Linked DNA regions of Saccharomyces cerevisiae S288C. The protein of the gene in region 2 binds, or shares a complex with, the protein of the main gene of each other region. Each region holds a gene or a part of one and is shown on either strand. Other genes may lie near its edges. A codon is read from its position in the direction of its gene.

Region 1 (3,291 bases), on a different chromosome or scaffold from region 2:
TATTCAAAGATAATATTTGCATTCGCTTCAGTTAAGAGTTGCTCTTTTACCGCCGATAAAAATTCTTGAGAGTCAATTTTTTTGCTTGCAATTATTTGATGGCTCCTTAGTAAACAGATCGAAAAGGTATCTGGAAAAATTAACCTTGTGGACTCATTTAAGTTCGGTAATCCGTCCTTGATATACTGTATTAAATACCTGAAATCATGCTCAATCTGAGTTAAAACAGCATCCTTATTTTCATTGTTGATCTTTGCTGGATTATTAGCAATCAAGAATTCTTTGACACGGAAAAGCTCGATTTCCTGACTTGAAAATTGCACATCCGTAGTCATTTTTTGAAACTTTCAGTATGAAGTAATGTGTACCTCGGGAAGCTCACAATAGTATTGTCATTTTCCTGCGATGAGCATTTTCTGGTAAAAATTTATTTTAACTTTTCATTTTCTTTTCAGTCTAAAAAAGTAAATTTTCGATGGAAAAAACGGAAGCACTCATGAGTGACAATAAACAGCATCGAAAGAAAAGGTAATAAATTAAAAACGATGAATGGATAAAACGTATTCGCAACGTGCTCTTTGCTCAAATTTCTCGTGCGAGAAAATTTTTATTACGTCTCCTTAACGTCCGCTTGAAAGAAACCCTAGAAGGAAGATTAAACGACTTCTTGAGGTATTTCATTTTTATTCTTTTTTTGATATCTATATATAAGTATTTCGATATAGTAAAAAGAAAACCCTTTCCTATGATGGACTAAAAAATATAATTATAAATAAATTATGAATAGTTGACGCATTAGAAGATATTGAGGACACTTGTTCGGCCTAAATTAAATGTCATCAATATCAAGTTCTTCATCTTCACCTTCCTCATCATCTTCATCAGCGTTACCAAATTCAAAGTTAACGTCTTCATCAGATTCGAAACCAAAGTTGTCTGTTTCATTAATTTTGGCGTTTTCAGGAAGTTCACCTTGGTTTTTCAGTGTTCTGGCTTCATCTAAATTATATTTGTGGACAACATCACATTGGTCATCTTGGAAATCTCTTAAGGAAACAAGAATAATATCACCTTGTCCCATCCAGACTTTCTTTCTTAACTTACCTCTAATATGGGCCATTCTCTTATTACCATCAAAGCAACTGGCTTCGACTCTTCCATTACCCAACATCTTGGTGATTTGAGCATATTCTTGGCCTTCTTCCTTATAAATAAGTTCACGCTTTGGACCGTCAGAGTCGTTCTTACCTCTTCTACCTTTTTTACCACCTTTAGTGTTTTTCTTACCCATGATGAACTTTGCTCTATATTACACTAGTGCTTTTGCAAGTACACCTTCTACATAAGTAAAGGTTTCTTTCAGCAAACTAAAATTGAAGCTTTTTTCAATTTTTCACTATTACTTCTTGCGGCGAAAACAAAAATGAAAAAAAAGTGAAAAATAGCGTTCGTGTATAATGATTATTATAAGATCTCATTAACAATATGAGAAATAACCCACATTGTTAGTTGAAACTTGTTTGTAATTTATCGTGCTGTATATACATATATACGTAAAAGGAAGATCGTACTTTTATATTTATAATCGCTCGTAAAAACTATAACTGAAGAATAAGAAAGAGAACATTTTGAAAGTACAGGAGGGAAAATGATCGCTTAGGCGGCTGTCAAGTCATGAAGGATGGTAAAAAGTTCATTGACACCATTGATATGTTCCTTGGCATAAGTGGATCTTGAGCTACCGTAAAGAATGGTGTAACCAAATTTTAGATTGTTCTTTTCAACCTCTTGCTTCACTAATTTAAATAATGGTTCAATAATAGGTGATGTCGAACCGGAAACGCAAACGAAATCTACCTGGTTTTGGAAATGCTTCTTATTATTACCGACGGACATCGAAGAGGATGTTCTTGATAGAGATATTCTGCTATTGTCAGTAGGACTGACGCCACTGTTGTAAAATTTCATCAAAAACTCAGCGGCGGCTAAGGCTAGCCCCGTTTGTTGAACGAAGACAATATCCTTATGCACATAAGCGTGAATATCCCTGTCATCAAATAAGGTGTTTATGTGCGTAATGGCTTCCCCAATAACAGTTGGGACTCGATCTTGATCATCAGCGTTTTCTGTATGGAATCTGATCATAGAATCAGCGATTTTGTAGTATGAACCAGGTAACCTCTCGACTTTCTCGTCAAAGATCTTTGCCACCTCTTTCATCCAATCAAGCTCTTCCACGATGTTGTACCACGACCCATTAACTCTTACGTAGGCACCATTCTCCGCTATCAATCCGATGTTTAGAACACCATTGTATAAGCTTTCGAATGTATTCTTTGTAAATGAACTCAAAACGTAAACTATATTATTTGAACTCAATTCACTTAGCAAGGATAGCATTCTGGACGTTGGAGGTTCTGAAATCTTGAAGATAAATAAATGCTTTTTGGAGGCTTTGTAATCAGCACAGAATTTTTCTGGAGCCAAATTGAAAACAGTAGACGTTTCTTGGTTGGACTCCCAAGCATTATTTATGTATTCGAAGCACTTTGTAATCCAATTATCCGAATCATGTTCAATAACAGATTTGAATAATTTTTTCCACCTACGCCTTTTTTCTTCTGGAGACATTTCTAAACTTCTCTTGATACTTTGTGCTACATGATTTATATCCCATGGGTTTATTAAGATGGCACCTTCCTTTAGGACAGAAGAACTACCAGTGAATTCAGATAATAATAGAGGCGCATTTTTTTCGAATGAACTGACAATGAACTCATGACATGTTAAATTCATACCTTCTCTCAGCGCATCCACAAGGAAAACGTCAGCTTCACAATTCAATGCCAAATATTGAGCAAAATCTAAATCTTGATGCAAAAAGACCACTGGTTGAGAGATACTGATGTTCGAAGACAAAGAATTGATTCTATCAACGACAACCATAATTTGACGTTCGTACTCAGGATCGGAACTCTTACCGATGCAGATTTGGATCAAAACAACTTTTTCGATGTATTCAGGGTTTTCTATCAAAAACCTCTCGTAGGCTAACATTTTTTTCTGAAGACCTCTAATTCTGTCAAATTGATCGCGACAAACAATCAGTTTTTTATTACGCCATCTTTCTTTAATTAATTGGCGCCATTCAAGTACAGAACCATTTCTCAACTGCGATGTCAAATGGTAATAATCAATACCAATTGGCGCATACATCACGGAAACAATATTGCAATGGTATTTGACTTCATCATTAGAGACATCCGCAGCAAGCAATCTGTTACAAGTTTG
Region 2 (3,929 bases):
AGCTCTTGATTGCTTTGCAAAGGAGTCTCTGAATGAATTGTTTGGAATGGCTTTCCAGTCATATAATCTATCAATTTTGTTTAGGGCAACGACAAATGGAGCCTTTCTATCTCTTAACAGTTTGATAGATTCAATAGTCTGTTGTTCCAAACCATGCATAATGTCAATAACCAAAATTGCGATGTTACACAATGAAGAACCTCTTGAACGTAAGTTAGAGAAGGATTCGTGACCTGGGGTATCAATAACCAAAAGACCTGGGACATCAAAAGTTTGTTTTTCATATTCAGCCATAACTTTAGTTTTTGCCTTAATAGCGTCGATGGGGAAATAAGTGGCACCAATCTGTTGGGTGATGCCACCAGCTTCACCACCTTGAACGTTGGTTTGTCTGATTTTGTCTAACAATTTAGTCTTACCGGTATCGACATGACCCAAAATACAACAAATTGGGGAACGAAGATCTTTTTTGTTTGGAGAAGCGCTGGATGGAGTTGGAGTAGCTGCTGGTGTAGCTGCTGGTGTGCTTTTGGCAACTTCATGCACATGTGCTCTTTCTTCTTCTTCTTCTTCTTCTTCTTCTCCTTCTTCTTCTTCTTCGCCTTGATTTTGGTCTTCATTTTCATGGCTTGCGGTGGATTCTTGCGTTTCTTCGTTGGTTCCCTCCTCGTCATCATCACCAAGAGCCAAATTTTCCCAATCATCAATCAAAACATCTTCGGATTCTTTGAGTTCGTCATCAGGTACAACTTCCGAGTCTTTCTTAGAGTCAGATTTAATGGCTTCGGAGGCGTTTTCCTGGGTTGTTCTCTTCTTCTTCTTGCTGTAAACAACCTTCTTTGGTTTGTTTTCTTCTCCATCCTTCTTGGCCAGACCGGCAACTTTGACGTTACCGGAAGACAATAAAGCGGCACGTCTTCTTTCCAATAATTTCTTTTCTTCTTTTTGCTTTCTGGTCAATAGCTTACCTTCAGCCTTTCGTTTTTCACGCTTTGCCTTCTCCTTTTCCTTTTTAGCTGCTTTAGCTTCTTCCTTCATTTTTTCTTCGTTGGCCAATCTTTCCTCCTCTTCTTTCTCCAATCTTTCTTCTTCCTCTCTTTCCAACTTTTCTTGTTCTTCAAGTTGTTTCTTCAATTCTAATTGACGTCTCAAAGCAGCCAAACCGGCAGGTACTTTCTTGGCTGGCTTCTTAGCACTAGCACTTGGTTTATCACTTTCACCTTTAGATTTTTGGGATTTCTCAGCAGCAGCCTTCTCAGCAGCAGCTTTTTCAACATTTTGCTTGTTCAACTCCTTGTTCTTCTCCTTTTGAGCTTGCTGTTGGGCCTTCTTCCTGGCAGCTTGTTCTTTCTTCTTCTGCTTCTCCTTTTCCTTTTTTTCCTTCTCCTTTTCCTTCTTGGACTTTAGTATAGGCTTACCATCCTTCTTCTCTTCAATAACCTTCTTTTCTTGCTTCTTCTTCGATTGCTTCAAAGTAGACATGAAGTCGCCTTCAATGGCCTCAGCACCTTCAGCACTTGCACTTGCTTCTCTGGAAGTGTCATCTGCACCTGCGCTGCTTTCTGGATTTGGAGTTGGCGTGGCACTGATTTCTTCGTTCTGGGCGGCGTCTTCTTCGAATTCCTCATCCCAGTAGTTCTGTTGGTTCTTTTTACTCTTTTTCGCCATCTTTCACTTATCTGATGTTCCTGATTGCCCTTCTTATCCCCTCAAAGTTCACCTTTGCCACTTATTCTAGTGCAAGATCTCTTGCTTTCAATGGGCTTAAAGCTTGAAAAATTTTTTCACATCACAAGCGACGAGGGCCCGTTTTTTTCATCGATGAGCTATAAGAGTTTTCCACTTTTAAGATGGGATATTACGGTGTGATGAGGGCGCAATGATAGGAAGTGTTTGAAGCTAGATGCAGTAGGTGCAAGCGTAGAGTTGTTGATTGAGCAAAATGTCTACTACAGTTGAAAAAATCAAAGCTATCGAAGATGAAATGGCCCGTACCCAAAAGAACAAGGCCACATCTTTCCATTTGGGTCAACTGAAGGCCAAGCTGGCCAAACTGAGAAGAGAATTGTTGACCAGTGCTTCATCCGGCAGCGGTGGTGGTGCTGGTATTGGTTTTGATGTGGCTAGAACTGGTGTGGCCAGTGTGGGGTTTGTCGGGTTCCCGTCGGTGGGGAAATCTACATTACTGTCCAAGTTGACTGGTACTGAGTCTGAAGCAGCTGAGTACGAGTTTACCACCCTGGTTACCGTCCCCGGTGTCATTCGTTATAAAGGTGCCAAGATCCAAATGTTGGATTTACCTGGTATTATCGATGGTGCTAAGGATGGTAGAGGTAGAGGTAAGCAAGTTATTGCCGTGGCAAGAACCTGTAACCTGTTATTTATCATCCTAGATGTGAACAAACCCTTGCATCATAAGCAAATCATTGAGAAGGAACTGGAAGGTGTGGGGATTCGTCTGAATAAAACTCCGCCAGATATCTTGATCAAAAAAAAAGAGAAAGGTGGTATTTCCATCACAAACACAGTCCCATTGACCCATCTGGGGAATGACGAAATCAGAGCCGTTATGAGCGAGTACAGAATAAATAGCGCTGAGATTGCCTTCAGGTGTGATGCCACTGTGGATGATTTGATTGATGTTTTGGAAGCTTCGTCAAGAAGATACATGCCTGCCATCTATGTGTTAAACAAGATTGATTCTCTGTCAATAGAGGAATTGGAATTACTTTACCGAATTCCTAATGCCGTGCCTATTTCGTCTGGTCAAGATTGGAACTTGGACGAGCTGTTGCAAGTCATGTGGGATAGACTAAATCTAGTCCGTATTTACACTAAACCAAAGGGCCAAATACCAGATTTTACCGACCCTGTGGTGCTAAGATCAGACCGTTGCAGTGTCAAGGATTTTTGTAACCAAATTCATAAATCTTTAGTGGACGACTTTAGAAATGCTCTGGTTTACGGTAGCAGTGTCAAACATCAACCTCAATACGTGGGGTTGAGTCACATTTTGGAAGACGAAGATGTTGTTACCATCTTGAAAAAGTGATTCTCGAACAAAAAATAATATAAGAAATGAAAAAAAAAAAAAATAATTCATAATTGAATATACAAGCATTTGTATTCGAAAAGGGGGTATCGGTTATTTTTTTTCGCTGTTTTTCTTCCACCGTTTGAGTATAGAGCATCTATAACATTTAATTATCTCTACATAATGAATAAAAAAAACAGTCGTAATAATTAAAAATGTTATGCTACCGAGGGCTCTTCAAAAGCGACCTCGCTTTGTGGTACCCATAAGCATTCTGTTATCGATCGTAGAGTTTTCTGGTAAATTGACACATCTCCTCTTGACTGAGCTCGTCTGCCTACGTTTTAGAATTTCCTGGGTTTGGCCAAACTCCCACAGTTCTTTATCATTCAGAATATCGAACTCATCGGATGTACTGATGGATATGTTCAGGGTTGCTTTCATATATTGCAAAGAATCCTGGATGGTCACTAGTGGATAGTAGGTCATCACCCTGGAAATAAGAAATTTGAGAAGTGCGCAATCATAGGAATGTGATGATATAACCAAGATATTTCCAAAATGACTAAATGACTTAAAGAGTGCCAACAGATCGTTGAATGCCTGGTACTGTACCAAGGGCTCACCACTGAGGACATTCGAATTACAAAACTGGGGCAGTGATTGGATTGTATCGGTTTGTGCCTGTGTTAAAGATGTTTTTATCTTTTTGCCCATCTGCAAGTACTGTCCAACGAATTTCTGTAGTAGTATTGTATTGTTTCGTATATACAAATCAATTGCGGCCTTCTTTGTTGCTACTGCTGCTGTAGTTGGTGAGCAAAGATTCACGACTACCGAATTAGAGTTCCTGAAATACTGGGTATAAAACGACGCTATCTTTTCAGTACTTAGA

What was found.
Region 1: the proteins of FUN12 (region 2) and TIF11 are in contact, whole or in part, in a crystal structure (PDB 3WBK), measured with the Saccharomyces cerevisiae proteins. Residues at the interface, in NP_009365.1 of Saccharomyces cerevisiae: Arg969, Asp973, Lys976, Phe980, Trp989, Leu990, Lys993, Lys996, Glu1002; in NP_013987.1 of Saccharomyces cerevisiae: Asp145 (codon at 859), Leu148 (codon at 850), Ile150 (codon at 844), Ile153 (codon at 835).

Annotation. Positions count from the first base shown.
Region 1 is NC_001145.3:788,549-791,839, forward strand, and holds TIF11 (translation initiation complex factor eIF1A), read right to left. Parts: upstream 1,292-3,291; coding exon 830-1,291; downstream 1-829. Other genes in the region: tRNA methylation protein TRM732, read right to left, coding at 1-335; TPS3 (trehalose 6-phosphate synthase/phosphatase complex subunit), read right to left, coding at 1,657-3,291.
Region 2 is NC_001133.9:74,166-78,094, reverse strand, and holds the start of FUN12 (translation initiation factor eIF5B), read right to left. Parts: upstream 1,669-3,929; coding exon 1-1,668. Other genes in the region: GTP-binding protein RBG1, read left to right, coding at 1,943-3,052; YAL037W (uncharacterized protein), read right to left, coding at 3,272-3,929. UniProt on the Saccharomyces cerevisiae protein: Plays a role in translation initiation. Translational GTPase that catalyzes the joining of the 40S and 60S subunits to form the 80S initiation complex with the initiator methionine-tRNA in the P-site base paired to the start codon.